2 linked regions of the Stegostoma tigrinum genome follow. The protein of the gene in region 2 binds, or shares a complex with, the protein of the main gene of each other region. Links are inferred from orthologs where the notes say so. Each region holds a gene or a part of one and is shown on either strand. Other genes may lie near its edges. The genes, in order: ATP-sensitive inward rectifier potassium channel 11-like and abcc8.

Region 1 (16,429 bases), on a different chromosome or scaffold from region 2:
ATTCAGAGAAGCAACGACCTTGAGTCAATTCCCTCTTGTGACTGCAAATCTGGCAAAGAATCTACAGACTGAAAACGCACAAATGATTTCAGGCGTGTTCCAGGGACACTGGTGGTCTTGGTGAAATATCTTTCCCCAAAGGCGCTCTTTGGCAGGTTAGGGCCATTGTGCGTTTGATTTTGGCTTCTCTCCTGTGCCTCCAATTCCCTGGCGCTGCAGAGTGGCGTCTTGGACCTTATGGTGTTGCCGAACTTGGAGTAATCAACCGAGTATCGGCCCTCCTCTTCGGTCACAATCGGCACAAACCTGTGGCCCCAAAGGATCTCCTCCGGCAAATAGGATGTCCTCGCCTGGGTCGTAATGCCAGTGGTCTCCACCACCCCTTCAAGGATGACCACTACCTCAAGGTCCTCCTGTTGGAGGCCAGCTGCTGATAAGTCATAGAGTGGGCTTTTCTTATCAATGGTGTGGCTAATGATGAGGGGGGAAACCAAAAAAATCGCATTGATGCCAACTGGGTTCTCCACTTGGATGTCAATCTGCGAGATGGGGATGACCTCACCTTCCCGAGTAGTGGTCTTCTTGACCAGTTGCATTTGGATGGTGGCACTAATTATCATACTCTTTCTCAGGTCCCCTACCCGGAACATAAAGCACAATTTCTTATTTCTCTGAGCAATTACTGCATGCTTGCTGAAAATGATGGTTTCTGCTCTTCGATTGGCCTGGGCTGTCTTCATGAAGATGCAGCCCAACATGACTGCATTGACAATGAGGCCCGAGATGTTCTGGATGATCAGGACTGTGATTGCCAAGGGGCATTCCTCAGTCACCATTCTGCCTCCAAACCCTATGGTCACCTGGACCTCGATGGAGAACAGGAAGGCGGACGCGAACGATGTGATACTCGTGATGCAGGGAACAATATTGTCCTGAGTGGTGTCCAGGTCACCATGGGCAAAGGCAATGAGCCACCAAAGCATGGCAAAGAGCATCCAACTGCACAGGAAGGACATTGTGAAGATCACAAGGGTGTAAGGCCACTTGAGGTCCACCAAAGTGGTGAAGACATCTTGAAGGAAGCGTCCTTGCTCACGGATGTTCTTGTGAGCCACATTGCAGCCTCCATTTTTGGTGATGAAGCGAGCTTTCCTGGATCTGGTTTGGTAACGAGGCTGAGAGAGGTCATCTTCCACCAGCCTGGTCAATAAATACTCTTCAGGAACGATTCCCTTTCTCGCCAACATTGCTCTTGTGGTTGGATACAACTGCCTGTGAGACCACGGCAAACATAAATAAAACAGTTAGTACCTTTGCTGCCTTACTGTGAATCAAGATCCAGTCATTGGGCCAATTCGTCTATGGCCACTTTTGTCTAGACTTATTATTGAAATGATTCTACGGACTAGCTGTGCATTTTTTATTCCTCTTGTAATTTTCTTGTCTGCCCCCTTAGTTATCTCTTCCCGTTACTTAATGCGTCTAGTATCTCTCAGAGGGTGGCCAAGGCAAAGCTTTTTGATGTGCAGGCCATCATGACCACTTGCAATCAGCTAGTGTCATGGATGACCATCCAGTTGATTCTTTTGCCTTTCTTTCACCCCAGAGCCTTCAAATTTAGAGCATTCTACCATTACCAACCCCACTGAAATCAACACTTTCAGAATGACAAATGAAGCCAGAGACCAAAAGCTAAATAAAGCTTGCATTTGTATGGTTTCTTTCAAGATCTCAGGATGAACCAAAACGCTTTATCGCCAATTAAGCACCTCTGAATTGTGGCCTCTGTTGCAATATGGGAAGCGTGGCAGTCAATTTGTGCACAGCAAGATCCCAAAACGGCAGTGATAAGCAACCAGTTCATTCTGATACAATGCCTGTCACCCAGGATTGGTCTGGAGGACACCTTTTCAAGTGACAAAACTTGGAAGCACTTCAAAACCGTGAGATGCACGGTGAGGGACCTCAAGAGGAAATAGACAAGCTGAAGTTTAAGGGCGGACAACTAGTTGATGAAACTAAAACAGGGAAGTGTGAAGAGATTCACTTCAGGGAGAAAAATTAAGAGAGCCAAGCTAAAACAAAGGGAAATAATTAAAAAGAGATATGGAAGTAGAGGACTTGGCGAAAGATATAGGCACACAAGTCACTGAGGGTGGAGCATAGAATGATAGAAAGAGGTGAAGAAAGTCAACAGATCCAAGACTTTATTAATGGAGGCATTAAGTAGGGAAACAAGGGAATTATGACAAACCCTAACTTATTCCTGGTTCAACCACAACTGGAGGATTGTGTACATTTCTGGTCATCACACTTTAGGAAGGATGTAAAGACTTCAGAGACAATTCTGAAAAAAACTCACAAGGTGAGTATGGAATGAAGAACTCAAGGAATGCGAGGATGGATTGGAGAAGCTGGGACTGTTCTCCTTGGAGATCACAAGGTTTAGTAGAACTGCTGGAGGGGCTGAATGGCGTCGATAGAGAGAAACTGTTGCTATTTATGCAGGGTTGAGGACCAGAGAATACCAACTTAAAAAGGTAACTGGGAAAAGAAACAAGTTACAGAGGGAAAAATGTTTATATGCTTCAAGTATTTAGGGTCTGGAATACACTGCCTGGATTTGTAGTGGAGGCAAGGCAACAGGGGACTGGGATCAGTGAAAGTAGATGCTTTTGTGAGCTAGCACAGGCACAGTGGGGTGAATGTACTCCTCCTCCTCCTCCTGTGCTTCAATCATTCTACACAAATTAGGAGGACAAGTGGACCATTCAGCCCTTCAGGCCTGCTGGGTCACTCAACAAGATCATGGCTGATCTAATTGTGGCCTTCATGTTCCTGTCTACCTCCATGCCATTTAAAGCCCTCATTAGTCAAACTATTATCCAACTCAGGCTTAAAGATATTTGATGGTCCAGCCTCCACCACTTTCTCGGGAAGAGAATTCCACAAACGCACAACCCTCTGAGGGGAAGAATGTCTCCACACCTCAGTCTTAAATAAGAGACCCCATTACTCCATGATAAACTATTTCAGTGATACCAATTAAGGGATAAGTATTGGCCAAGACCCTGGAAAGAATTCCATTGCATTTTTTTTCCAATTGTGGCTATTGGGCCTTTTATATCCACCTGACAGGACAGATGAGCTCTTCAGTCAATGTCTCATCCAAAAGTTGGTATCTCTAACAATGCTGCATACCCTCAATATGGTGTCAATGTTTAGATTTTGTAATCATGTATCAGTCCCGGAACTTTAAGATCTAACACAGAAACAAGAGGCTGCTACTACTAGTGGTCCAGGGAGATGCTAACAAATTTATTGGAGTTACCGTAATGGCCTGGTATGACAACTGCTCTGCTCAGGACCGTAAGAAACTACAGAAGGTGGTGTGCACGGCCAGACCATCACGGAAGCCAACCTCCCATCCACGGACTCCATTTACACGGCTCGCTGCTGAAGAAAGGCTGCCAACATCAAAGACCCACCACACCCTGGTAATGACCTCCTACAACCTCAACCTGAACACACACCCACAAGCAGGTTCAGGAACAGCTTCTTCCCGCCCATTATTAAACTGACAAATGGACTTTCTGGCTTCACGAAACACTGATCTTGCTAATGTCGATTTTGTCTAGCCCACACCCTGCGCAACGTAACCTGTATGCCTCTAAGTATTTTTTTCACCTTACGATCTGCACATCCTTGCCTCCTCAGATCTGCCTGTACTGCTCATAAACAAAGCTTTTCACTGTACTTCGGTACATGTGACAATCCCACTCCCCGTTATACTATCTTCCAAGTGAGTGAAGGTAGATATAGGGGAGACATCAGAGGTAGGAACGTGGAATGCATTGCCGGAGAGTGTAGTGGAATCGACCTCATTAGGGGCATTTAAGTGGCTATTAGATAGGCATATGAATGATTATATAAGGTAGGGATGGAGGTTAGATAGACCTTAGGTTTAGGGTAAAAATTTGGTACAACACCGTGGACCGATACTGTGCTGTACTGTTCTATGTTCTATGTTCTATGTTCTATGTTCTATGTTCTATGTTCTATGTTCTATGTTCTATGTTCTATGTTTTCCCATTGGGCAAAGGATATAAAAGTTTGAATACACATATGAACAGATTCAAGAAAACTTCTTCCCTGCTGTTTAGATTTCTGAATGGACCTCGCTAATGTTAACTCTGATCTCTATCTCTGAGACTTCCCTGCAGCAGTAATGTTGTATTCTGCACTCTGTATGGTACAATCTGCCTGGTTACCACGGCAAAACAACAATTTTCACTGTATCTCAGTACATGGGATGACAATAAATCAATTGCATAAAACAGTTAAAAACCAAAAGAAATGCGGACGCTGTAAATCAGGAACAAAAACAGAAGTTGCTGGAAAAGCTCAGCAGGTTTGGCAGCATCTGTGAAGAAAAAGATCAGAGTTAACATTTCAGGTCTAGTTCTGAGGAAGGTCACTGGGCCCAAATGTTAACTGATTGATTTCTTCACAGATGCTGCCAGACCTGCTGAGCTTTTCCAGCAACTTCTACTTTTGTACATAAAACAGCTGATGTTCCACTAGTGTATCAACAGGAAGAAATAGCAAGGCCAGGTGAACTGATAGGTATCACTTCCCGCTGGTACACACATCTGAAATTAATGCCAATTTGATGACTTAGGCCAGCCCTTAGAGTGTCCAACAAAAAAAAAGCAAGTAGATTTCAGTATCAGATTAATTCTGGTCAATCCAGTGTTTCAGATTTTGAGACTCACCTGCCACATAGTAGGAGTCCTACAGCCACATCAGGAATTGATTTGTTCTTAAAACAAGTTATCAAACAAAGAAAGCCACTTGACTTGCCAAAAACAACAGAAAAGATCGAAAGAAAAAGAAACAGGAAGTTGGTCCTATGTGAGAAAGATACACCTAAGATATACCTGAAAGCAATTAGTCTGTATGTGAGCCAAGAGACGTGCTAAATTATTCATGCCACACCATAATAAGATGATAATTAGAAAGTGGTTTTTTGTTGAGGTTCATCCTGAGCAGCTTTGTGATGCAGGACTTTGTGCTCTACGGTCTGTTGCCCAGGACTGCACACCAAGACAAACATTGGTTGCACCTCAAGCACCGTCAACTCAGTGAAAGACACTCTTTGGTCTGCCTGAACCTTGCCATCCTCCAGAACAAGGAATTGACCCAGCCTAAGTGTTCCAGATTAGCACATTGCAACGTTCAGGGCTACACGCTGAGGGACGCACCATAGCTTGGGCGGCTGCCGCCAAGGTGCAGTGGAGAAAGATCACTGTCAGCGGCCTTCCTGCCAAATTTAAATGGGGAACTGTTCAGTTTTCAGACCCTCCTGATGCTTCAAATTCATATAAATGTATTGTGGAGCTGGAGAAACGGCAGGCCAGGCAGTTTCAGAGGAGTAGGAACGTTCATGTTTTGGGTCAGGACGCTTCTCCAGAAATGGGGAAAGCAGCAGAGATGCATGAAGAAGGATCCCAACCCGAAACATCAGCTTTCCAGCTCCTGTGGTGCTGCTCAGCTTGCTGTGTTCCTCCAGCTCCACACTGCATCATCTCTGATTCCAGCATCAGCAGTTCTTACTGTCTCTGCATATAAATGTAGTCCCATTCTAAGAGATGCCTTTGGTTTGTTTGGATAGAGGTAAACTCCTGTGTTTGTTGGTTTCTTTAATATACTATTGTACAGAATTGAATTGCATTTGTGACTATATATATGTGAATATTTTTTATGCACAAAAGATATTATATCTGAATATTTTTTATTCACAAAAGATATTTTTGAAATTAAAATAAAAAATTTAGCATGTAACATGTTATAACCACTCTGTTTTTCCCATGGATACAAGAGTAGAATTAGGCCATTTGGCCCTCTGGGTCTGCTCTGCCATTTGATCATGACTGACAAGTCTCAGACCCATTCTCCTATCTTCTGCTCATAACACTAAGTCCTTACTAATCAAGGACCTACCTTCATCTTAAATACACTCAATGACTTGGCCATTGGAAGTAATACCTTCTGCGGCAATGAGTTTCACAGATTCATCGCCATCACACTGAAGAAGTTCCTCCTCATCTCAGCTCTAAAAGGGTTCTCCCTTCACTCTGAGGCTGTGCCCTTGGGTTCGAGACTCTCCTACTAGTGGAAACATCTCCTCCACATCCATTCTATCCAGGCCCCTCAGTATTCTGAGAGTTTCAATCAGATACCTCCCTCGTCTTTCTAAACTCCATGGAGTCCTCAACCGTCCCATATATGACAAGCACTCCATCTCCAGGATCACTCTCGTATACTTCCTCTGGACTCCCTTCACGGCCAGCACATCCTTTCTTAGATACGGGGCCCAAAACTGCTCACAATATTCCGAATGCTGCCTAACCACAGGCTTATACAGCCTCAGCAGTACATCTCTGTTGTTCTTTTCTAAACTTCTCAAAATGAATGCTAACATTGCATTTACCTTCCTAACTGCTAACTGAAGCTGCACGTTAACCTTCAGAGAATCCTGAACTAGGACTCCCAAGTCCCTTTGTGCTACAGATTTCTGAAGCTGTTTCCCACTTAGAAAATAATCTACGCCTCTATGCTTCCTATCAAAGTGCGTAATCTCACATTTTCCCACATGGAATACAATCTGCCACTTCTTTGCCCAACTCTCCCAGCAGAAGTCCTTCTGTAGCCTCTGTTTCCTCAACACCATCTGTCCCTCCACCTTTCTATCTTTGACAGACAGTGAGCAATGCCTCAGAGCTTCTGTTTAGAGATAGCGAGAGGTGAAGAAAGAGAAACAAACTCAGAAAATGTGTGAAAAAGTCACACAGACTCACATTTTCATTAAGCCAATTGTTCTGGGCCTCAGGACATCCCAAAGCCAATGAGGTGTTTTTATTTTTACTTGTCGCATCTGTAATGTGGGAAACATGTAACTTGTAAGCTTCCAAATCCTCTTCAAACTCATTTTTAAAAATAACCTAAGTTGTAGGAGCGGACATGGGCCATTTGGCCCATCAAGAGGGATGCTCTTTGGAGGGCTGGCGCAAACTCAATGGGCTGAATGGCTTCTTTCTGCAGACATTCTATGATACTAAGGCGGTGGTGAGCTGTTTTCCTAAACACCCAAAAAACCACACATTGTAGGTTGACCCACAATGCTCTTAGGGAGGGAGTTCCAGGATTTTGACCCAGAAACGCTGAAGGAACAGCGATATATTTCCAAGTCAGGATGGTGAATGCCTCGGAGGGGAAGCAGGGGGTGGTGCTCCCATGTATCTGATGGTAAAGGTCATGGGTTTGGTAAGGGGTTGCCAAAGGAGCCTTGCTGAGTTACTGCAGTGCATTTTGTAGATGGTTAACTGTGCATCAGGTGATTGATAGATGCCAGTCAAGTGAGCTTCTTTGTTCTGGGTGGTGTTGAGCTTCTTGAATCTAATGGATATTGAGTGAATGTTGAGTCCAGCGTAAGACTTCCAGCATGTGTTGAGCTCCCTTCTATAGTACAAGGGCCTTTGGCTAGCAGAGTGACCAACGTGCTTGTACACAAACTGTCAGACATTTTCTAGCCACTGCCCAACAGAAAAACACAGGTGGACATCAGGTGAAAACATTATCGAGATGGCCAGCAATGACCTACATAGTTGAATAGCCAGCTGTTCACACTGAAGGAATAGATATTTGAGGGAGCAAAGCTGGAGATGGTTTGAATAGCATCCAAGTGTAGCAGGTAATAGGGGAGGAAAATGGAATGTCAGCCTTTATTTCAAAGGTAATTGAGTGTTTAAAAGAAAAGACCAGAAACCTGCTCTCCAGGAAAGAAATAGAAACAATAGAGAAATAGATAGAGACCACTGTCACATATCAAAGTGAAATACCACACTCAGCCTCCAGAAAGCAATCCTTAAAACTCCACATAAAAAGGGAAAAACATTCTCACAACGTTAATCAGATAGAGAGAGAGAGAAAGTTCTGTCCCTGCCATCAGGGATTACAAACCTTGAACAAGTAAAGGATGAAAGAAGGTCCTGGTTGGGGACCGAGAAGCTTTGGCAGCAGAGGAGGTGGGGAATAAAAGAAGTTGGGGCGGGGGAGTTCAGTTGCAGGTGGACACAGGAGTAATGGTAACACCCAGCTGCTGTCAGACACACCTTTGTCTGTCAAACAGGAGGTTGTAGAGGTCAGCACACCGCAGCAAGAATACAACAGCATTGACCCTCCAACACAGCCCTGAAGGAGCCATGTTCTGCTGCAGATCCTTTCTTTCCTGTCCACATGTTGAAGCTATACCTGCATTTACAGCCTCCTCTGGCAACTCATTCTGTTACAAACCACCCTCGGTGTGGGAGCAGAGGAACTGAACCCACACTGTTGGTGTTGACTCTGCATTGTAAACCAGTCATCCAGACAGCTGAGCCAAGCGAGGGACCATTCACAATAGGGACAGGGGAAACCCTTCCAAGCTTCAATTAACATCACTAACACAAATTCTCTGTTCATCACATTGCTGTTTGTGGGAGCTTGCTGTGCACACGTTGACTGCAATGAACAGTGGCGGTGCTTCTAAAGGACTCCCTTGGCTGGAATGTGCTGAAAGGACGCTGCCCGAATGCAATCCTTCCGTTCCTTCTGCAGAACGGGCATTTGAAATATGAAGCAATAGTACCACATCTAATTGTGGCTGTGTGTTAGTAATTCAGCCATCAGCTGAATACTTACCTTAGTAAACATGGCATGCAGTCAGTGTAAAACAGCCCTGATCATCCCTTTATCTTGTTGTATTATTCTGTGAACGCACAGTAGAAGGTCCAGAAACCGGAACATTCACTGACCTTGGATGCAAGAGGAATCAGATTAAAGATTGTATCCTCGCTTTGTTTTGGTTGCTCGTCTGGAACCTAGAGGTTTACGGATTGAGCATCCCTTTCGATCAGGAACCTGGCCTGGCTGTGGGTAGGGGGGGGTGGGTGGGAATGATATTTGCTGAACAGCCTGGTCCAAAAATACGAGGAAGCCTGGGGTTTGTGTCTCCTTAGAGGTCACACAAAAGAAAACAGCTGATCCATCTATTCCCATGGAAACAAGTAATAGATAGGACCTTTAAAGTGACGGCTTAAGGGCAATTGGAGGATTTTATTCTGCCAAATGGCAGCGCGAATTCTCCTTAAAGGGGAAGTACAGTATTGTAAACTCCAGATTCTCCTCAGCAATTCCGAGCCTCACTCGATCGGCTTTTTATTCTTTGAAACTGCTGACAGACGAGTTTCCAAGAATTGCTTCTTCACAGAATTTTAAAGATTTTGCAGGAATATTCTTTCATCTTTTTGTTTCCAGAAAGCGCCATGACATTGTCCCAAACTTAACTTTCTGTTATTGACACTTCACTTCATAGCCTGCAATTCGATTGGATAATCCAGCTCAGAATGAGGCCATTCAGCCCACCTGCGCTAGCTGCTATCCAAACGTTCCCCTTTTTTTAGCTCATAGCTCTGTAATTCCGCCCACCTCTCATAGAATCCTGACACGGAGGAAGCAGGGCATTCGGCCCATCGAGTCCACACTCCTATCGGCATCCCAAACACCCCCACCCCACCCCATCCCAGTAAGCCCACCATGTCCCATGGCCAATCTACCTACACATCCCTGGGGCAATTTAGCACGGCCAATCCACCTGGCTTGCAGATTGTGCTGTACAACATGGAAACGCACCTTTCATTTCAACTCATCCATGCTAACCAGATATCCTCAACTAAGAGAGATAGTGGGAACTGCAGATGCTGGAGAATTCCAAGATGACAAAATGTGAGGCTGGATGAACACAGCAGGCCCAGCAGCATCTCAGGAGCACAAAAGCTGACGTTTCGGGCCTAGACCCTTCATCAGAGAGAGGAAGGGTCTCTCTGATGAAGGGTCTAGGCCCGAAACGTCAGCTTTTGTGCTCCTGAGATGCTGCTTGGCCTGCTGTGTTCATCCAGCCTCACATTTTGTCATCTTGGATTCTCAACTAATCTAGTCCCATTTACCAGCATTTGGCCCAAATCCCTCCAAACCATTCCTCTTCGTGTACCTTTATTAATGTAAAAGGTGCCTTTTAAATGTTGTAACTGTACCAGCCTCCAGCACTTCCTGAAGCAGCTCATTCCGTACACATACCACCCTCTGTGTGAAAAGGTTACCCTCACCTCCCTTTTAATATTTTGCCTCTCACCTTAAACCTATGCTCCTTTAGGTTTGGCTTGGGGACCGCTTTGCAGAACACCTCCGCTCGGTTCGCAACAAACAACTGCACCTCCCAGTCGCAAACCATTTCCACTCCCCCTCCCATTCTTTAGATGACATGTCCATCATGGGCCTCCTGCAGTGCCACAATGATGCCACCGGAAGGTTGCAGGAACAGCAACTCATATTCCGCTTGGGAACCCTGCAGCCCGGGGTATCAATGTGGACTTCACCAGTTTCAAAATCTCCCCTTCCCCCACTGCATCCCAAAACCAGCCCAGTTCGTCCCCTCCCCCCACGGCACCACACAACCAGCCCAGCTCTTCCCCTCCACCCACTGCATCCCAAAACCAGTCCAACCTGTCTCTGCCTCCCTAACCGGTTCTTCCTCTCACCCATCCCTTCCTCCCACCCCAAGCCGCACCTCCAGCTACCTACTAACCTCATCCCACCTCCTTGACCTGTCCGTCTTCCCTGGACTGACCTATCCCCTCCCTACCCCCCCACCTATACTCTCCTCTCCATATATCTTCTTTTCTCTCCATCTTCGGACCGCCTCCCCCTCTCTCCCTATTTATTCCAGAACCCTCACCCCATCCCCCTCTCTGATGACGGGTCTAGGCCCGAAACGTCAGCTTTTGTGCTCCTGAGATGCTGCTGGGCCTGCTGTGTTCAACAAGCCTCACATTTTGTTATCTTGGATTCTCCAGCATCTGCAGTTCCCATTATCACTCCTTTAGGTTTGGGCTCTTTGTGAGAAAACTGGAGTACACATAAAGAACCCACACAGAAACAGGGAGAATGTGCAAACTCCACACAGACAGTCACCCGAGGGTGGAATCGAACCCCAGTCCCTAGCGCTGTTCAGCAGCAGAGCTAGCCACTGTGCCATCCCTTGCTTCTTAACTTCCTTGAATGTCATTACTTTTCAGTCTGCTTCCACTGAGTTTTTCAAACTGCACAGTCCAGATTGGAACAACTCACTGTGGTAGATAATAGATATCCCCCTCACTCCCCCCTCCATGTGCCTTTTATATTCTCCAAGCTACACAGAAATGATGTTTTAAAATACCTGCTCTATGTTGGTGCTCCTGTTCTATTTATCAGTCTTTTCTCAAGGCACTGCCCCTCTTGTTCATCCGAATCATGCAATCTTTTACTGAGAAGGACAACACAGATTTAGTGGAACGTTCCCTCAATCTGTCTGTCTTTTGCCCTGAAACAGACAAAAACAGAAAATGCTTGAGATACTCAGCAGGTCAGGCAGCATCTGTGGAGAGAGAAACAGAGTTAACATTTCCTGTCCAGTGTTTCCTCTCTATAGATGCTGCCAGCCCTGCTGAGTTTCTCCAGCAATTTGGGCCTTGTACTACCATTAGATTGGGTCCACATTGAGAGGTAACATACACCAGTGGTTTGTACTGCCCCTGGAGGGGGTGCAGAGAAGATTCACTAGGTTGATTCTGGAGTTGAGAGGGTTCCCTTATGAGGAGAGACTGAGTAGACTAGCACTATACTGATTGGAATTTTGAAGAGTTCGGGGATCTGAATGGAAACATATAATATTGGATTAGATGGAAGCAGGGAGATTGTTTCCACTGGTGGGTGAAACTAGAGCGAGGGGGCACAGCTTCAAAATAAGGGGGACCAGTTTTAGGACTGAGTTCAGCACGAACATTATCACCCAAACGGTTGTGAATCTGTGGAATTCCCTGCCCAGTGAAGCAGTTGAGGCTTCCTCATTGAATGTGTTTAAGGCAAAGATAGATACATGTTTGAACAATAAAGGAATTAAGGGTAATGGTGGGTGGACAGGTAAGTGGAGCTGAGTCTATGAAAAGATTAACCATGATCTTGTTGAATGGTGGAGCAGGCTCGAGGGGGGTAGATGGCCCACCCCTGCTCCTGGTTCTTATGTTCTTTTGTTCATTGGAGAGGGTCTAGAGGAGGTTTATGAGAATGAACCCCACAATCAAGGGCTTGTCATATGAGGAGCAGTTGAGGACTCTGGGTCTGTACTCAATGGAGTTTAGATCCAATTGAAACTTATAGAGTATTGAGAGGCCTGGATAGAATGAACATGGAGAAGACATTTCCACTGTTCGGACAGACCAGGACCCAAGGGCACAGCCTCAGAGTGAAGGGACAATCCTTTATATCTGAGATGAGGAGGATTTTTGTCAGGCAGAGAATGGTGAACCTATTGTGCAGAGGGCTGCAGAGGCCAGATCATTAACTGTCTTTAAGAAATAAGACAGATGGGTTCTTGATTGGTAAGGGGATTAAGGGAGAAAACAGGAAAATGGGATTGAGAAATTTATGAGCCATGATATGGAGTGGACTTGATGGGCCAAATAACAGTCAAACTTTTTGGCGAAGTTACAAACACTCTTACGACAGCCAGCAAGTCCTGCCGTGAGGCTTGAACTCAGAGACTACTGCATCCCACTGTCACTGCATCTGCCTTCCCTTTCCCCAGGTTCTTAACTTCTGTCTGAGTCCACAGTGAGGTTTAATCAATCAAATACCGTGGGCCTCAATAGTAAGCAGTGTCAGATTCACAAAGACAGCACATGTGAACACTACACCCCTCCCTCTGATTCTTTAGCCAAGTATCATAAACCTTTTGCCCTATTTTTCTTGTCTGATGATTTTCCGTAGAGAAGATGTGTCGTTGGATCATACACAATGTCGGAGCAAATTACTGCACCTGCTGAAAACTGAACTGAAAACAAATAAAAAAGCTGAAGATCTTCATCAAGAGTCATCCACACTTGAAACATTAGCTTGCTTTCTCTCCATCGATGCTGACTGACTCGCTGTGATCTCCAGCATCTTTTGTTGTCATTGGACTATGATCACTTGTGGCTAATTATAATCCAGGGATCCTGTTAGATCTCTGCTAGTGTGGCTGCCGTCACCTAAAAAGAGACTGGTGGCACCATGACAGTGTCCCTATCTCCAAATTCAAATCTGACCTGCTCCAGATGTGTGTCGTAAGAAGCTGATTACACAAACCAAAAGAGAGAATAGACCCCTGCACTGTGATTTGCTAATGGAACCTGTCTGTCTTTGGAGTTTAAGTGCACCTATCCTTTTGGAAATGTATCTAAAATTCAGGCTGTCGTGAACAATGTCTCCCCAGATTTTTGGAGATGATCTCAGACTAACTGCATCTTTATGGAACTAAGAGGGAAATTGTGTGATTTACTCACTGAAGAGTATTTGAAGAATGTGGAGCCTTTTTATTCACCATGTACCTTCTAATTATCACAGCTGATTTATTATTACAGGATTAGGCTGGGTTCACGTCACAAGTTTAGCAATGCTATGAAGCAATTTCTCCAACACACTGATGATAAAGCACTTTTTTCTGTACAGATGCTGGTCAAGGTGTGACTGAAGGATGTTAAAGTGAAACCTTCACCCTGTAGCCCAGAAACAGCTGCTTTGCCCTTTACAACAACAACTTGCATTTATATTGTGCCACTACGCCCAAAATGCGACTGTTGTACTTGCCTAGATAAGTACAGCGCCAACAACACCCAAGAAGTTTAATACCATCCAGAACAAAGTGGCCCCTGCTTGATTGGCACTACGTCCACTGGCATTCAACCCCTCTACCACTGATGCTCGGTAGCAGCAGCGTGCACTATCTACAAGATACACTACCGAAATTCAACACAGATCCTTAGGGAGCAGTTTGTAAGCCCACAACCACTTCTATCTAGAAGGACAAGGACATCAGAAATATAGGAACACCACCACCTCCAAGTTCCCCTCCAAGTTCCCCTCCAAGTCATTCTCCATCCCGACTTGGAAATATATCGCTTTCTTTCACTGTCGCTGGGTCAAGATCCTGGAGTTCCCTCCCCCATAGCATTGTGGGTCAACCCACACCAGGAGGACTGCAGCGGTTCAAGAAGGCAGCTCATCACCTCCTCAAGGGCAACTAGGGATGGACAAGAAATGCTGGCCAGCCAGCGTTACCCACATCCCACAAATGAATAGAAAGCAAAACATACAAAACAAGCCACATAAAGGAGATGAAAGGGCACTTTGTCAAGGAGCATCTTAAAAGAGACAGAGAAGCCGAGAAGGATTTCTGGAGCTGAGGGCCTTGATACTTGAAGGCCATGACCACCAATGGTGGAGCAATAAACATTTCTTTAACTGAAACGGTGGGGCATGGTGGAACTGCATTGTAAAACACACCTTCAGCTGTGGCTTCTGTCCTTGCAGTACCGCATGAGCCCTAGTGGGGGTAGTAGTGGGCTCCACTGTGGCAGCGCCACCTGTAAGAATAACATGGCATTGCACTTTGGACCGGCAAGCAACTGGCAACAGACCTAAGTACAGAAAATTAAAATAGATTTTGAGTTTGAGTTCGATTCATCGTTGTCACATGTGTTGGGATACAGTGAAAAGTGTTGTTTTGCGTGCTATACAGCGAGATCATACCATACAAAGTGCATCAGGGTTGCAAAACAATGTTATAGACATTGAGGAGGTGCAGATGGCGAGGTCACAATTAACATTTGAGAGGTCTGTTCAAAAGTCTGATAACAGCAGTGAGGAAACTGTTCTTGAATCTACTCACATGTGTATTAAACCTTTTACATCTTCTGCCCAACAGAAGAGTGTGGAGGAGAGTATAATCAGGGTGGGAGGGGTCTTTCATTATGTTGGTTGCCTTCCCGAGGCAGCAGGAAGTGTAGACAGAGTCACTGGTTGGAAGGCAGGTCTGCGCTATGGGCTGAGCTGTGCTCACGATTGTCTGTAGGTTTTTGCAGCCTTGGGCACAGCAGTTGCCATACCAACCTGCAATGCATCTAGACAGGATGCTTTTTAACGGTGCATCCATAAAAATTGGTATGAGTCTTTAGGGACATGCTGAATTTCCTTAGCCTCCTGAGGAAGCACAAACATTGTTGTGCTTTCTTGGTAACTGCGTTGACATGGGTGGATCAGGACACATCGTCACTCCCAGGAACATGACGCTCTTGACCATCTCCATCTCAGCCCCCTTGATGCAGACAGGAGCGTGCCCTCCACTCTGCTTCCTGAAGTCAACGACCAGCTCCCTCACCTTAGAACATAGAACAGGACAGTTCAGGCCCTTCAGCCCATGATGTTGTGCCAAACTTTTATCCTAATCCCAAGGTCTATCTAACCTCCAGCCCTACCTTTTATTATCATCCATATGCCTATCTAATAGCTGCTTAAATGCCCCAAATGAGGCCAATTCCACTACCCTCTCTGGCAATTCATTCCACGCCCTGACGGCTCTCAGAGTAAAGAACCTACCTCTGATATTTCCCCTATATCTACCTCCACTCACTTTAAACCTATGTCCCCTTGTAATAGCTACCCCTACCCTACGACAAAGTCTCTGCCTGTCCACTCTATCTATACCTCTGATCATTTTGTACACCTCCATCAAGTCACCTCTCATCCTTCATCGTTCCAAAGAGAAAAGCCCTCGCTCTCTCAACCTTTCCTCGTAAGACCTTCCCTCCATTCCAGGCAACATCCTGGTAAATCTACAATGCACCTTTTCCAACACCTCCACATCTTTCCTGTAATGAGGCAACCAGAACTGGACTCAATACTCCAGATGGCCGAACCAGGCTTTTGTATAGCTGGAGCATAACTTCACAGCTCTTGAACTCAATCCCTCTATTAATGAAAGCTAACGCATCATACGCCTTCTTAACAACTCTATCCACCTGGGTGGCAGCTTTCAGGGAACTGTGAACATGAACCCCAAGATCCTTGTGCTCCTCCACACTGCCAAGAATCCGTTAACCCTGTGTTCTGCTTTCAGATTTGTCCTTCCAAAATGAATCATCTCACACTTTTCAGGGTTAAACTCCATCTGCCACTTATCAGCCCAGCTCTACATCCTGTCAATGTCCCTTTGTAACCTAGAACAGCCCTCCGCACTGTCCACAATGCAACCCACCTTTGTATCATCTGCGAACTTGCTAATCCACCATTCCACTCCTTCATCCAAATCATTTACAAAAATCACAAATAGAAGAGAACAGATCCTTGTGGTACACCACTCGTAACTGAGCACAATGTTGAATATTTTCTGTCCACTACCACCCTCTGTCTTCTAAGGGTCAGCCAATTCTGAATCCAATCTGCCACATTTCCCCCTATCCCACGCCTCCTTACCTTC
Region 2 (16,910 bases):
AATTAATATGCCTTAGCCAAGAACTCTCTATTGCAAAATACTATTGTATTTGATTATATAATACTATCATAAATTTAATCTTGGGTAAACAACTAAAGAAATTGATATCTTTTGCATTACATGGGTCAATAAATTGCTTCATTTGAGCTTTCCTAAAGCTATGGAATTTCAGAAACAAATACCATGTTTTTGGTGCATCAGTGGTAAGATTGACAGCTTCTGTGTTACCTTTCTCTGGCACTTTTATTTTAATATATCAATCAGAATTCTGAACAACTTTGGGGCATCTTCCTCAACATCTCCCTGCTTTTTCCAGTTACTTTATTTTTATGAAGCATCAGCATCATTGAGTAAGTCATGGATTTCTTCCTTGTGTTGAATGATGTCTCCTAATACAAGTTGAGGGAATTTTGAGTGTCCTTAAAGTGAGAAATGAATGGTTCTTTTAGTTCTGCTGTTACAATTCCTGGCCTGGACTAATATCAACTCAGTCTACTGCTAGCAGAAAGAATTGTTGTTTCAAGAAACTCGATAATTTCCATTGGCGACCAGACTTTTCTCACAATGCCTTGGATTCTAATGAGCTTTTTTGCCTCCTTCTGTTATAAAATTCCTTCACCACCACCACCATTCTTCATCCATTCTTTCCTTTCCTATCTTTTTTAAACAGCATTTACTCTGTAATTTTTAACACCCCCATTCTTGCTCTTCCGTGTCCTAGGTCTCTGTTATCGTCACATCATCATATTTCCAGATGACAATCTGCACCCGTATTTCCCCCGTCTAATTTACTACATCCTGTGCATTCACAAACATACACAATAATCCTGATTTTAAACTGAGTTCCTTTCTCCTCATTCCACCTTCACCTTTATATTTTCGATACTCATGTTATCAGTCTCTGCAAACATTTTGTGCATCCCTAGTTTCAGCTTTCGTAGTGCCACTCGATTCTTACACCCCTGCAGAATTAGTTTAAAGCCCTCCCAACAGTATTAGCAAAGGGCCCCACAAGGAACTCAGTACTAGCTCTGATCAAGTGGAACCCACCTGGCTTGTACAGATATTGTCTTCCCCAAAACCAGCCATGATGTCCCACAGTGACTGAGTTATGAAAACCACGATTCAAGTTTCTGCCACTGACAATAACTTGTGCAACATAGTTATTGAGGAAATCAGTAAGGACTATAATTTCCCAACTATTACAGGCCAATATTTCATTTGACTGAGCTGCACTGCCATGACAGAAAAGATCGCTGTAGCAGAGTAGTAGAATTCATGCCCAGGTCCTGAACCCAGTGCTCATCCACTTCCAAATGCATTTCTTTTCCTCTCTCCCTTTCTTTTACTTTTGCTATTTTTTTCATTTTTGTTCTTTTTTTCCCCCTTTATTGGTGGGAGTGTTTCCTTCAGCAGTAGGAGCCATCCTATTCTCAGCGAGCCGGTGGCAGTGTGCCCAGCTTTGAATCTGAGCCCAGTTCAGGACTCAGCGACTTTAACAGCAGCTGCATCACTGAGATCAGCTCAGCACGGACTCATGGCAGCGACAACATTGGTGGAGGCAAGATGGCACTGAACAATGGCGACATGGTTCTAGCAGCAATGGCTGGGCCCAGAGTCCTGACTGTGGAGGTGGTGATGTTCCAGCTGCAGTGGTGTGCAGGGACTGAGGGCAGCTGAGTATTCACAAACTGAGGCATGGACTTTGTGGCAGTGAGGACTCATGGTAGAGGTGGGGAGTGATCTGGACATTTCCCTTTCTCTTGGCAGGTTCTTTTTACTTATAAAGTCATAGTCATACAACCGTTCAACCAGTTCATGCTGAACATGATCTCAAACTAAACCAGTCCCACCTGCCTCCTCCTGGCCCATACCCTCCAAATTTTTCGAATTCCTGAACTTACCATGTCCACCACTTCCTCAAGAATTTCAGTCCTCATATAGACTACTGTCTGGTTAAAAAAAACATTTGCCCATCATGTCTTTTTAAAAATCTTCTTTCACCTCAAAAATATGTAATTCTGTCTTGTATACTAAGTTGGCACCAGAGAATAGTGAATTTGTATTCTTTTTCACTGTACTCCTGTATCTGTATACTGGAGAACATGTGACATAAGAATCTAAATTTAAATCTAAATGTTATGAAATGACTTCCTTTATATTAACTTTGTCTTGGATTACCTGCATTACATTATTGTCTTGGCCCTGAATGTACCGTGCTCCTGATGTTTCTCATTTCCTTTGTCCTTCCAAACCCACGACTGTTTCCATCTATAAGCACAAAAGCAGCAAATACTTGGGAACACCACCACCTGCAAGTTCTTTGCCAAACCAATAACCAACCTGACTTGGAGCTGTATCGTCACTCCTTCAATGTTGGTCAGTCTGGACCCACAGTGGATGTCGTTACACCAAATGGAGTGGACAGGTTCAAGAAGGCAGCTCACCACCACTTTCTCCAGGGCTGCTAAGGAGGGGGAGTAAATGCTGACCCAGCCAATAATACCCACATCCCATGAATGAATAAAATATGGCTAACTCTTAGAGGAAAAAATGCATTGTTATTTTACAGCAATTTAAACACAGTCACTAATTGCAGTTTCTTGGCAACCAATCACTTTACAGATTGTCTGTTTTGTCCCTTTTTTATATCCCTTTGCAAATTCAGCATGGGTCGATTGCAAAGAGCTGACTGGTATACCTCTCAGACTTCCAGATAAGTGTGCTCACAGCCTCAGATCAGGATATAAAATGTGGAGTACCAATGTTTATCTAGTTTAACAAAATTGCTATCACTTGAAGATTGTTGTGTTATTTGAGAGCAATGTGTCAGTTTTACCAGTATCTAAGGTCTTATAGTAGATTTGTAGCTTGGGTTGTGGGTGTTGAGGTTGGTTGGCTCGCCAAATTGGTTTCTTGTATCACAGACGTTTCATTACCACGCTTGGGTAACATTCTCAAAGCAGCCTCCGATGAAGTGTTGGTGTGTTTTCCCACCTGGTTTTTGACTCCAGAGTTTAAAAACCAGGCCAGAAAACACACCAACACTTCATCGGAGGCTGCACTGAGGATGTTTACCAGTATATGGAAAGATAGTGTCATTTTTTCTAAGCAAATGACATTAGGCCAGATGAAAAGCAATAAGTAATGTGGACCCACAGCTTTTTTAGTTACAAGAAGCCTAATATTTCATGCCACACCAGATAGTAAAATCTTTCAAGAGTTGATGGATTTAGTTCAGGAATTTTATGAATCTAGCTTCCTCTAATTTTAAGATGCTATCGGTTTTACTCAACAGTTCAAGGAACAGGGGGATTGTGTTGGGATTACCTGGCAGATACCAGGGATTACCTGTTTACCTGATTAGATACCTGGCAGAGACATGTGACTTTGGTTTAACCCTTAATAAGAAGATGAGAGACTATTTGGTATGTGGGATTAATGATGTGACCATGCAAAAGCACCTACTAGCTCAAGTCCAACTGGACTTCAAGCAGGCACTGCTACTGGCTTTCTCATTAGAAAATGCAGCAAGTGTAGCATATGAGTTACAGGGTGTGCCAATGGAGTGGGCATCCTTGCATGCTGACTGAGCTTGGAGAGCACCACTTGAATTAAAGCAATTGCATAGCCTCATTTGGGACCCCAGGTCAGCCCACAACAAAACTCAAAAACAAAGCCAAGCCTCAGCCAAACAGCAACCTATTGTGGTTGCTGATGGTATGCTGACTCAAGACAACAAAAGAGTCCCACTAGATCTAACGGGAGTAAGAAAACTCATAAGCCCAGTATCCAGGAGAGTACACACCCTGGAAAGTCCACCTAAATTTGGCTTGGGAGTGACCTGGACTTGAACAAGTACATGGACCATGTGAAAGCAGCAAACTGGCAAATAAGGCAGGAGCAAAACACACATAGCCCCTCAGAACATCCAGAAAGGCTATTGGAACCCATGCATTCTCTCCCTTGGTCTAGCGTCAAAGAAACCTCAGAGTCTGAGATGGACACAATGGATGTCGCAGTGTCAACACCTTTACTGCCTGAAGATGAATTTCTTGTGAGACATTCTGGATGCAAGAGGCAGGTTACAGTCTGGTACAGGCCACTTGTGTCTGAGGCAGAGTCAGAGGAAGTGGACCTAGCGTGAAAACACTCCAGGAGAGGCTTGCGAGAGAAAGACCAGATCAACATCCCCAGACAGAACATTTAAGATGATTGGTATGAAATTGATTGTGGCATTGACAGGGGGAGGGATATAATTGTAAGCAGGTCAGTCAGGTGGATCTCATAGAATCAGTTTCCTTATTGGGTCTGTTAATCTGGTCAAGTCAGGGAGCCCTAGCTGACGGATATAAACAGGAGTGTTGGAAATCCTGTTCACTCTGAAAGCTGGCTCTGAGGAAGCCAGATCAACATCAAGTACTATGCACATTTCAACAAAGGATGACTTAGTGATGGGATACTAGCCTCTGTGGAGTTATTTCACCATGAGCAAACTAAGTCTCCATTGAACAAAATGCTGTAATGTTATGCATGACATCAAATGAGAGTGTGTGTCACAGAACTAAGGATCTTTTTTTTAACCAGTGTACCACAGTATGGACCCAGAAAGCAAACGGAACAGCGAACACTACTAATTGATATGTTTACCAAGTGATACCTGATTGTTTTGGATCCAAGCCATAACAATCCATAAGGAAAATTCTTCTTGATTTCACAACTACACAACTACCCATCATTTGGCTGCAGACCTGACTCTGACTTTGCTTGTCCTCCCACCTCTATCACAATGGCTAACATGATGAAACTCATTTTCTGGGCCCAGTTTCCTTGTTTTCCACTGTCATTTCTCAGCTCCGTGACTTCAATATTAGGGCTGAGATCTATGAAGGAATGGTCACAAATGTTTTCAATGGAGAATAGGGCACAATGTTGATCTTCAGTTGATGTTCCATTTTCCAGCAGAAAGCGTCAACTCCCTAGAAAATACCATCAGAACAAAAATATGCTGCAGCAGTTGAAGCTCTCGTGACCATTCAATATTACCTTCTATTATTTATGCTGAAGTATCACCCACCTGGATCTCCCTTGCATTTACCTTGCAAGTGAAAGTAAATTGCAACTGAATTACACATTATTTTCATTCAAGTAATCTTTTCATCTTCTAATAAAAAAGATTTTAAAAATGAAAAAATGGTTACAACTTCCTTGTATCATCCTTTGGCTTGATTTCAACATTGACTTCAATAGTGTCCTGGAAAATAATCTTCAATTCCCAGATAGTCCAGGCTAATTCTAAAATGTAGGCAAGGTAACTATTCAAAGTGTGCTTATCTGACTGCAGAACATTTAAAATGATGGGTATGAAATTGATTATGGCATTGACTGGAGTGTTTTCCTGAATTATATTAAATACTTTGCAAATATTGCCCATAGTTGTAACCAATCAAAATGTGCAAAATTTACTGGGATTTATAAAAACTAAATGAATCATCTGTGCTATTTTATCTGCATGACACGAGGAGGACGTATTATCAAACACGCAACAACTGCATGTTATGCTGTGAAAAATATGATTACAGAGTTTCAGCAGCTAATCCTAGAGTTTCTATTTGAACGAAATTTGCCTGTTTGGGTCTAGGCACAAACTAGACCCTTCATCAGAGCTGATGAAAGGTCTAGACCCGAAACGTCAGCTTTTGTGCTCCTGAGATGCTGCTTGGCCTGCTGTGTTCATCCAGCTTCACACTTTGTTATCTTGGATTCTCCAGCATCTGCAGTTCCCATTATCTCTGGGTACATTTTTGCCAGGTTTAATTCTTTCTCTCTGTCTCAACTGGTACATCACTTTAAGGGAAGCTGTTGTTTAAGGAAAAGGAAAAATTATAGTGATTGTTTTAAATAGTTGGTGTTTTCAATAGCCTTGAAAGATAAGAATTTCTTGTAACTGATAAATTATCCTTTTGATGTATGATTATTCATGTGCACAAACGTTCTGCTCTACTACATCATAAAATTCAATGCAGCATTAATGAAGACTATGATACACAAATTTATTTGTAAAATGGATTTTTTTATTCAGCTGTGTTTATCCATTTCCTGTAACATAAAACTGATACTAAGATAGTGCAAATCCTACTCTAAAGCCAGTCACAAAGAAGCAAAGCAAAGTATCCTGATTGCAAAAGGAAAAGGTAGGTTTAAAAATATAAGAACATATTATTTCATTTTAGATTGCCAGGATTTCATGGCAGCAGAATTAGAGGTCTAACCTAAGACCTTGTCAATATATAGGGGAGCACACTTAATTAAATTCCCTCTGACATCTCTGTAGTCCTGCCCTCTTCTTCACACTCCCAGGCTAGAAACCATCATCGCATCGATCATATTCTAAGCTATAACCATACTCAGTGATAATGGGAACTGCAGATGCTGGAGAATCCAATATAACAAAGTGTGGAGCTGGATGAACACAGCAGGCCAAGCAGCATCTCAGGACCACTTCAGAGAGCTCTCTGATGAAGGGTCGAGGCCTGAAACATCAGCTTTTGTGCTCCTGAGATGCTGCTTGGCCTGCTGTGTTCATCCAGCTCCACACTTTGTTATAACCATACTCAGATGGTTCAACCTGCATCATGTCTCCATCTCTCTGGCTTTAACAGTTCAAATGTATACCCATTTCTAACCAATTATACTAGTCAATGCTTCCTCATTTTCTCTGTCCCTCAGCTCACCAGATCCCCTTTGGCTTCAAATCTACCCTTTAAAGGATCTCAATCTTTGAATGTTCACAGGAGCTCCAACTCCATTTACACATTCCATTGAGGCCTCCTATGTGATCCTTACAATATTCCCAACATATTCTCACCATATAATGGGGACAGGTGGGGGGGGGGGTATACTGGAAAACAGAGGGAAAGCAGCGCAGATATCAGGTGGGAAGTAAGTAATGACGTAGCCACGGAAATATGTTGTGCCAACGACCAATGAATGACTGGGGTGCTTGAACCTTAGGATCGCAAACAAAAATTCTTTTGAAGCATTTGACAGGGACCACTTTCAGTGTGAGGTTGAATTGATCTTTGTTCTGTAAGGTAAACTCTTTATAGTAATTGTACATCTAATGTATTTCTACATTTTCAACTCTGGTCTCATTTCGTTGGCTGTTGAAATCATGAAGAATAAAATGCTTCAAGAAAATGGAAAAAGGCTTGCACCCATTAAGACGTTGTATCTAACGCCTTACAAATGATTCTCTGATTATGAAGTTGGAAAATGTTCCAAATAATTGACCCAGAGGATAGCGGTAGGTTTGGATGATGAGTCTCTCGAACCGTCACTGCCTGACTCAGGTTGCGAATGCTGTCATTGTATCTGTCCGGTGGAGTCGATGTGAGACTAGATTTCGAGATGTTATCCAACTCTTGATTGGCACGATGTTGGCTTTTCACCTGCACTGAAGCGAAAGAAATACACATTCGACAAACAAATATGACATCAGATTGCACAGTCGGCTTTCCGCCTTTACCGCGCCGAGAGCTTTTAGCAAATGACTCCAGGTACCACGGAGAGCGCTCTGCTGCCTTATTTACAGTACATCCCGCGCTGCTCTCACTTCAAGCAGCTCCCGCTGAACCCTAAATGCAGCTTCCCCCTTATTACTGAGCTGTGTGTGTGTGTCCCTCCCCCACCAGCCTTTTCTTTCCGGGTGTTTGTGTGACCCACTGTAGCAACGGCACTCCAGTAATCAACCTGCACTCAGCCAAGTAGAGCGACGGCGACAGAACATGAGGCGCGGAAAATAGCATCGGGATGAAGCAATGACAGTGTCGACCTACTTCTGGAGAAAAAGATGGAGTTTGAAGCATAACAAAGCAGGAGAGATTCCGGTGATAGGTTTGACCGCCACGCGGTCCTGACCTGTTTCAATTTTCACGACCTGCTGTGCCGAATGTGCGTGAACCTCTGTAATTCTCAATGGCACACTATTCACAGCTTAAATTCGGAGCTAAAAAATGATAACCAGGTATAAAGAGGTAAGCTTAAAGCACATTTAAATGTCGTGATTATCGCACCATGGGAACCCGCATTGTATCTCCCTTCAGTAAGTGCTGCCTGCTGTGGGGTTTAGAAGCTTGTCAGAGTAACCAGATCAGGGTTCCGAAATCCAGGGTCCGGAGCAGCTGCTGCAGGCACTGTATCCGTCAGTATGGACTCAGCTCCCTTTAAAGGTGAACGTTCGGGGTTTTGTCTTTGTTTTAGCCTACACGTTTGAAGTGATCACTTGCACCGCAATAGAAGCGGGACCCGAACTGAAACGCTGAAGAGGTGTCAGCTCAAAGTGGGGTATTTTTCTCAAAATGACGTTTGCTGTGCAGACGCCGCCGGAGTAGTTGAGCCAATGAGTGAAGGGGAAGAGGAGGGACGGCAATGCTGCATCTGCGGCTGAGGGAAGGTCAGGTAATGGGATGAAGTTACCCCTTTTCAAGGAAATACTGACTCCAACGACTACGAACCCCCTTAGAGTTTGAAACGAGCACTACTAATTGCGTTGGGCAAGTGCACTGCAGTATTTCATTTCTCTAGAGCTCGGGGTCATTTTTGTTTTCATCTTCTATCGTTATTGTTTTTACTTCATTCTGTCAATATGACATATCGATGTACTTCCAAATTCACATTCTTCCAGTAAAAGAAAGACACTGGATATGAACACTATCGGAAGTACTTATTTCTTTAGGTTGTATTCTTTGTAACACCCGGTTATATTTAGGTAGATTTTACGACATATTTGATCACATCCTCAACTTTATGCTCATAAGAATATAGTGCGACAGCCAATTTGGTGTAGATTAGATACGGGGGTTACTCCCAACATCAGTATAATGTATACATCCAGCACCATGAATTTGTATACGCTAGGTGGCTCGCTGCCAGGAATTTTGCTTTGTTACACAACTGGGGTCTTGATTTTGCTTCGAGCTGTGTTTGGTCTCGATTATATCACATGACAAGGAGTCCCCTACCAGGAACAAAGTACAAACTAATCCCCTCTACTTCTGCTAGTGCAATGCTTAGAATCACGACTTCAGATGTGTAATGCGATGTGGCTGTAAACAATTCCTAACGATTTTTGAAAAAAAAGATTCTTGTAGTATACTTCACGTTAATGTCTGGCTAAGCAGCCCAAATCTTGGCAGGCATTTTACGTAAAACAACGAGCCCTTGAAAGGATGGTGAGACCTCACATGCTCCCAGCAAAACCAGCTACATCAGCAGTCAGCTAATATTTGTTACCATGGCCGATGGGAGGGTGCGTTATCCCGGCCGTTGGTGGTTTAGACGGATGTATTCAGCTGTTTTAGTTTATTCGTTCATGGGGTGTGGGCACTGCCAACATGTAACATAATGTTGCATAATTGCAACAGTGTAATTCACTGCCTTGAAAATCAATACTTAAGATCCCCTTGCAGGTTTTCCTTTCCAATTTGAGAAAGAAGGATAACTCCATAATGAACAATCATTCTATCAGCCAAGTAGCTTAAATCCAGAATCTATGGTTGACCCCAAAGCACGTTGAATTTTTATGAGGTAGCTACGTATCTGTTAGGCATTTACTGAAAACTGGAACAATACAACTGTCAAATCCCAATTAATTTTAGGGTATTTGAATCTATTGGGTAGTTGTTTTGAGTGTCATTACCACTTGTTGAAAAAGGCAATATTTGTCAATATTATAGAATTTCAGGTTATAGTTTTCAATAGCATTCACAGAAATGGGTCACATTATAGTTACAATTAGCTCATGAATTTCAGTTGGCAAAATGTTTCCCATTCAGTCAATATAAAGAGGCAAGAAATACAGAATAATTTGTTTTAATAAATTTAGTAAAGCATAACATTACTGTCCCCAACCTACAAGCCATAACAATTCATCAAACCAAATGTTTATACATCCTATTGATTACTACTAAGTTATTATTATCAATCTAATGAACACCAATATAAGGACGATGGTTTCCAATCAACATTGTGGAGCACATATATCCAAAGAGTGATGTTAGAAATGAAAAATACAAACTACCGTCTATTGGTAGGAAGATTAGATTCTCATGTAAAAAAAAAGTTACTGCTCCGCCAGTAAGTTCGCATCCAAGCTGGTCACAATTCTGACTTGCAAATATATTGCCTTTCCTCCTGATTTAATGGATCAGAATCCTGGACCTCCCTGCCTAATGCTATTGTGGATGTACCAAATGGAATGAAATAGTTCAGGTAGATAGCTCACCAATATCTGCTCAAGAACAACCAGAAATAACCTCTAAATATTGACCAAGTCAGCAACATCAACAGACCATGATTGAATTTAAAATAAAATAGATTTACATTACAAATAAATGTTTTGAATCAGTAACCAGAATAAAGTAGTTATTTCCTGTAGAGACTAGAAAGCAAACTGCTAAGATACAGAAATGAATTTGCAATAATATTCGAAGCCATTGTTCCTAGCTATTTTGGTTTTTTCCCTTATCACCTTAAATACATATTTTTGCTCTAGGTCTTTGCGTTCACTTCTGTTTTGATGTTAGCTAGTTTTCCATCAGCTGTTGCAAACATTTATATCTATTATACAAATAAACCTACTGGTAAATAGTCAGTTATTAACTTTGCAGCTATAGATACAAGATATAGACCAGGAGTCACATGGCTGGGAGAATTTAATGGTGCTGTAAATTAACTTCCTAATTATTATTGAATTTTTGCATTAATCCAGCAACTTAAAGAATACAAGTTAATTTTACATTGCTTGAAAATAGTATTGCATAGTACATATTGATGTACTAAATGTATGCATCACATGTAGAAAGAAGTAGAAATTGTTTTTACTATTATTTCTTTTTTTGGGTATGTGAACATTATAGTGGTGAGCTCTCTTCTTGAATTAATTCAGATTAACCAGTGTAGATACCCATAGTGTTGTTATGAAGGGAGTTTGGGATGTTGGCCCAGCACTGTGGATACAGAGTTTCAATTAGAATGACGTATGTTTCAGAAGGGAAACAGGTGATGATGTTCCCATGTATTTGCTTTCTTGTTCTCCTTGGTGATAGAAATTCCAGATTTGAAAAGTACTGTTGAAAGAGCCTTGTAGAGTTGCTGCAATGCATCTTGTGCATGTTTCTCATCGCTACCACCATACATCATTAGTGGAAGCACACAGATTTTTTTTGCTATGGTAGAAGAGTTACTGATCAAATGGGTTATTGTGCCCTTAAATGTGTTAAGCTTCAGGCAAATTCTTAGAGGTACTCTTAAGTAGGAAAGCGGAGATTATTCCATCACTTTCTTGACTTTTGCCTTGTAATGGTAGGCAGGCTTTCGGGAGCTGGTTGTGTTACTGGCCACATAATTTTGACGTGTTCTTGAAGCCACAGTTATTTATATGGCTTGATGAAATACAGTTCTGTGAGTGGTAATCCCAGGGTATTGATGGTGAGGATTTCAGGGCTGGTAATGTTGTTAAATGTCAAGGAAGATGGTTGATTCTCGCTTTTTGGAGATGGTCATTACCTGACTTTTGTGCGCTAGGAATATTACTTGCCACTTATAAGCCCATGACTGAATGTTATGTAGGATTTGCTGCACATGAATAAGGATCACTTTAGAATCCGAGGAGTCATGAGTGGTGATAAACTGTACAATTATTAGCAATAATCTGTATAACTGACTTTAATATAGCTTGACGTTCATTGTTAAGCAGCCAAAGATATTGGGCAGAGGACACTATCCTGAGTGATGCCCTGGGACTGAGGTGATTGATATCCAACAACCACAACTGTCTTTCTTTGTTCTAAGTATGACTTCAACCAATGGAAAGGTTTTCACCTGATTCCCATTGACTTCAGTTTTGCTCAGACTCCTTAATATCGTACTTAGTCAAGTGCTACCTCAATGTCAAGACCAGTCACTTTTACCTCACTTCTCGAGTTCTTCACTTTTACTCACATTTGTACCAAGGTTGTAGATGGGTTTGGAGCTATGTGGCCATAGCAATATACAAACTAAGCATTAGCCATTTAGTTATTGCTTCATAAATCCTGCGTCATAACATTGCTAATGACACTTTCCATCACATTATGATTGAAAGGAGATTAAAAGGGTAGAAATTGACTGAGTTAGATTTGTTCTGCTTTTTATGAACTGGGGAAATTTTCTCATTTGGGTAAATGCCAGTTTCGTTACTACCTCAATGGCTTTGCTAGAGGTCCGCCTAATCTGAAGCAAATCATTAATATTACTACCGTGACCCAAAGCTATTGCTGCACCAAGCCTTCACCTATTGCTTGTGGAGTGAATCAAATTGGCTGAAGATGATGGGCAACTGAGGAGGCGACCAAGTTGCAAGACGAATCATCCACCCAGTATTTCTGGCTGAGATTATTGCACTAATGTGCTGGACTCTGCCATCCTTGCAGATGGAGAAGTTTGTAGATCTAGTTTTTTAACTAGTTGTTTCATTGTCCGGCACCATTCATGCTGCTTGTCATGTCTGATGCTGTAACTTCTCTAGGTTGGCACCTCATTTTGAGAATTTTTAGATATGCTTTGTGCTGCTCCTGGCACGGTCTCCAGCACTCTTTGTTGAACCAGAGTTGATCCCATGACTTGACTCTAATGATAGAGGGGGGGCAATGCCAAGTGATGAGGCTATCTTTATAGCTGAATACAGCTCTGCTGCTGCTGATGGCTACACTTGTTCACGGATGCAAGATTCCAGTTCCTAGATGTGTTCTGAATCTGTACAGTTTAGCATAGTGGTAATATCACATAATATCATAGAGGTTGCCTTCAGTGTATGGTGATGGGACTTAATTTCCATGAAGGACGTTAGAGTAATCATGCCTATTAATACTATTGTCATCCTGCTGATGTATTTTTGATTTTAGATTGTATCAACATTCTTTTAGACACGGTCAATAATTGAAATGTATCAACAATTTTATATGTGAGACAACAAATTAGACTTCAACAGCTTACTCGTCTCAGGAGAATGTATTTAACTCCCAGTCTTTGCACCCTCCTTTGGGTTCTGTCTCATTTTAATTTCAATAGTAGCTTCTAATTAATGAAAATCCAGCTGCTCGTAAATAAATTTGAGACTTTACCTTATCTCTATTAGCTGAAGCTGTACAAAATGTTAAAATGAACTCAATGATTCCAGATAATTTACACCCTTGGGCAATGATCTTGAATTAGTGAGAATTAGAACAAAATAGTTGCCTGCTAACAAAAACAACAAAATGTTCACATGAAATTGGTGAAAATCTTCTATTCAATATGACATAAAGTGGCATTTGGAATGTTTTGAAGAGGTCTGATATTGACAATTATTAAACATTATACTCTGCAATTTATTCTGTCTTCTGTAATGTGCAGACTTTAAAAATCTAAGCTTGACAACTAATCACAAGTTGCTGACTTATTGCATTGTTTTCCATTGTGTTCAATCTTAGCAATATTTTGCAATTCAATCATCCTTTAGTTGTCTTTCTCAATTTAATGAAAAGAGGAGAAAGATGTAACTATCTGATTATCTTGAACAAAAAATGCAACATTTCATGGGCCATTAATTGTTAATTTGTAGTGAAAACACAAACAAAATAAACATGCCCAAAACGTAGTGATAATGTAATACACAAGTGATGCGATGGCATTTTCAGGATTATGAAATGAATTAACAAAACTGATTGAAGCAAATTTTTCATTGTGGTGGTTGGTCTTAATATCAATGGCCAGAGCTTGGGTAGTTAAGAACAAAAAGATTCTAAAAAAAGGGAGACATATTTAATTTAAAAGTTATTGATTATGTTAAGCTATTGGAATGGACAACTGAACAAGTATCAGTGGCAATTAGACTGTTTCTGCTTCCACCTATCAATGCCTTTGGAGACTTCAAGCATCGACTATAGATATCTTTCCTATTTCTCATTTGCATATTGCCGCTTGGCAACATCACTCAATGACATGCAATGAGTCCCATGTACATGCCCTGTTCTACATTGCCATCTCCTTCTTAACCCCTCCAATGCTTTGAGACGTCAGTCTCTCCGACATCAAGACCCAGATAAGATAAAATTGCCTCCAGTTCACCTTAATTGGGAAAAGCAAAATGGTTGGCTTTTTGAAACTGCCACTTATCCTATCTACATACTGACCAATTGTCTGGAAACACAGGCTACGCATCACCTTCAATTATATTTCACCTTGAACTGAACTTTTGTGTCCTCCCCTTTACCAAGCCCTTCCACCTTAACTTCTGTAAAATACTACCTATTTCTGCCCCTCATTCAGTTCATCAACTGCTGAAACTCTGCATTATTTTCAAATTCAGTTATTCCAATGTTCTGACTACCTTTCATTTACATCATCCTGAAAATTAAACCTACTCAAAGCTCTGCTTTACCATATTTTAACTCATTTTAAGAATCTTACATTCACTGTGCTGTTCGCATTTCACCATACTGATCCCTGACCCATGAATGCCTTGACCTTAATTTTCTTACTCTCACCCCTCCCGATCCTGGAGTCTCCTCCAGGTCTGGAAATCACTGAGAATTCTGTTTCTCCAACTCTGGTTCATGCTCATTCATTTTTTACAATTCACATTAAAGGCTATCTCTTTGGCTGGTTTGGTCCTGTTTTAGCTAACACCAACTTGATTTGGAACTATATTGTCATGTTTCATTGCCTCGAGGTCAGATTCTTGGAAGTCCCTTTTTAATAGCATCATGGGAGTACCAACAGTCCAAGGACTTCAATGGTTCAAGGACACAACTGACCACCACTTTGTCAAGGGCAATTAGGGATAGTCATTAAATACTAGCCAGAAACAAAATAAAGAAATGCACATACCCATCATGACCAGCGAACATTTAAAGCACTTTATGGCCAAGTAACTACTTGACGTGTAGTCATTGCTGCAATGTAGGAATTGCAATAGCCAATTTGCAAAGAGCATGAAAGATATCTGTAAACAATGTGATAACGACCAGACAATTGGTTCTTTATGTGACGTTTGTATTAATCAGCACACCAGGAACAACTCTTCTACTCCTCTTCTGAATAGCATCTTGGAATCTTTAATGCAGTCATATAGCATGGAAATAGACCTTTTCGTCCCACCAGTCTACACTGAACATAATTTCAAACTGAACTAGTCCAAGCAAGCCAGGCAGCATCTGGAGGAGAGAAGTCAACGTTTCCGGTATTACCCTTCTTCAGGACTCGATATGAGTGTGGGGGAGCTGCAGATAAATGTGGGGCAAATGGTGGAGATGGAATGGTGGTGATAGGTGGACACTGGTAATAGATATGACCTGGTTGGCCGATGGCTGGGATGAATTGGTTGGTGGCTGGAAGGAAAGATTAGAAAGTGAACTGGAAGGGAGGAGGTGGGGCTGGAAGGGGAGGCCTGGAATGAGTGGTAAGGTTATTTGAAATTGGAGAAGTCAAGGTTGAGTCCTCCCACCTGTAGTGTGCCCAGGCGGAAGATAAACTGTAACTCGGAATGCAAAATTGGAGAACAACACCTTGTCTAAGTGTCTTTTAAATATTAGAACTGTGCCCTGGTCCACCAATTCTTCAGGAATGTCAACTCCAGCTAGCAGTTGGACTTCAATTAAAAGTCCCCTATGACAGGGGTTATCTCCAACAGTGCAGCACACCCTCAGTGCTAAATTGGATTGCCAGCTTTTTAACTTTGTACTCAAAATCCTACAGTAAACAAATCCCTATACCTTAGCAGCGTTATTAAATATTTCTTATTTGGTTTTTGAAAATTACATTAATGCCAATCTCGTTGAAACATCGTGAGGCATTAAACAGTGTTTCATGGGTTAAAGGCACTATATTATGCAAGCTTTCTTATGGAGATCCAGAAAACAAGTAGGTGGAACAGATCCCTGACAAGGTTTTGTTTAGATCGAATGTTCATTCGCTGTTCTTGAACTGTATTGTGTAGCTATATTGTGACAATTTTTCAGCATGAATTCCCCCTCACTTTCCGTGGTGACAAAACTGCCCACAATTATTCAGTGATGGTAACACCCTTGTAAAACACGTGACCTTTCTTCAGAGAAAAGGAAATAACCCAAGTTGTTAGTCAGTCTTTAGTAATTGCCTACTACAGCTCGTGTTCAAAAGGAATTTTACGAAATACTTGTCTTTGGGTATGAAAGTCTATGTATTCGGCTTCAACTTCCAATTCAAGTCATTAAACGCTTGAAACTTCACACGCTGTGATTAAATGTCTTTCTAGATAGCGCTGTTTTATCTGTGTGCCTGTGCCCAACTCTGAGCAGTTGCAGATTTGCTTAGGGTTGCAGAAGTTAGCCGCTGCTGCAGTCGCTGAAGTTGGATCCTATTCTCGTTTCATCAGCGAGAAGTCCTGATGTAATGGGAGAAATGGATCTGGACAGTCAGGAGTCGGGAACGCTGTCAGCTCATTGACAGCACGGCGTTCTCGCGCTTTCCTTTCTTTTCGACTTTGGATCGTTTTGGCATTACTTCTCTGAAAATGTGCTAAAGCTTTGCCCCTCTTCGATTTGACCAGAGCCCCAGTTCGACCATGTCCTTGTCTTTTTGCGGCAATGACAACGACACGGCTGCCTACAATGTGGACAACGGAGTGCTCAACAACGGCTGTTTCGTGGACGCCTTGAATGTTGTCCCCCATGTGTTGCTGCTTTTCATCACCTTCCCCATATTATTCATAGGTAAGCTCTCGGAATAGGGAGACCACAGCGTTTCGGTTGAATTATGTTTACATATTTACGGTACTGTCATAATGTAGAAAAGCAAAACTGCATAAAATCTGTCGTTGTTTTGGATTCGAGGTTGGGGAAGTCAGAGTT

The links.
Region 1: the proteins of abcc8 (region 2) and ATP-sensitive inward rectifier potassium channel 11-like are in contact, whole or in part, in a cryo-EM structure (PDB 7S60), measured with the Homo sapiens proteins. The link is inferred for Stegostoma tigrinum from reciprocal best matches to the Homo sapiens genes ABCC8 and KCNJ11. Residues at the interface, in NP_000343.2 of Homo sapiens: Phe5, Ser12, Ala13, Tyr15, Arg16, Val17, Val21, Asn24, Cys26, Phe27, Ala30, Val33, Val34, Val37, Phe41, Phe44, Ile46, Phe48, Ile49, Gly50, Trp51, Gly52, Ser53, Ser55, Lys57, Val58, His59, Ile60, His61, His62; in NP_000516.3 of Homo sapiens: Val44, Ala45, His46, Lys47, Asn48, Ile49, Arg50, Gln52, Gly53, Leu56, Val59, Thr62, Leu63, Lys67, His70, Leu73, Ile74, Met77, Cys81, Leu84, Leu85, Met88, Trp91, Leu92, Phe95, Ala96, His97, Gly98, Leu100, Ala101.

Annotation. Positions count from the first base shown.
Region 1 is NC_081391.1:22,561,034-22,577,462, reverse strand, and holds the start of ATP-sensitive inward rectifier potassium channel 11-like, read right to left. Parts: upstream 8,959-16,429; 5' UTR 8,760-8,958; coding exon 8,743-8,759; intron 1,273-8,742; coding exon 3-1,272; 3' UTR 1-2. UniProt on the Homo sapiens protein: Inward rectifier potassium channel that forms the pore of ATP-sensitive potassium channels (KATP), regulating potassium permeability as a function of cytoplasmic ATP and ADP concentrations in many different cells.
Region 2 is NC_081370.1:23,366,637-23,383,546, forward strand, and holds the start of abcc8 (ATP-binding cassette sub-family C member 8), read left to right. Parts: upstream 1-7,547; 5' UTR 7,548-8,015; coding exon 8,016-8,036; intron 8,037-16,174; exon of another isoform or gene 16,175-16,226; intron 16,227-16,609; coding exon 16,610-16,772; intron 16,773-16,892; coding exon 16,893-16,910. UniProt on the Homo sapiens protein: Regulator subunit of pancreatic ATP-sensitive potassium channel (KATP), playing a major role in the regulation of insulin release.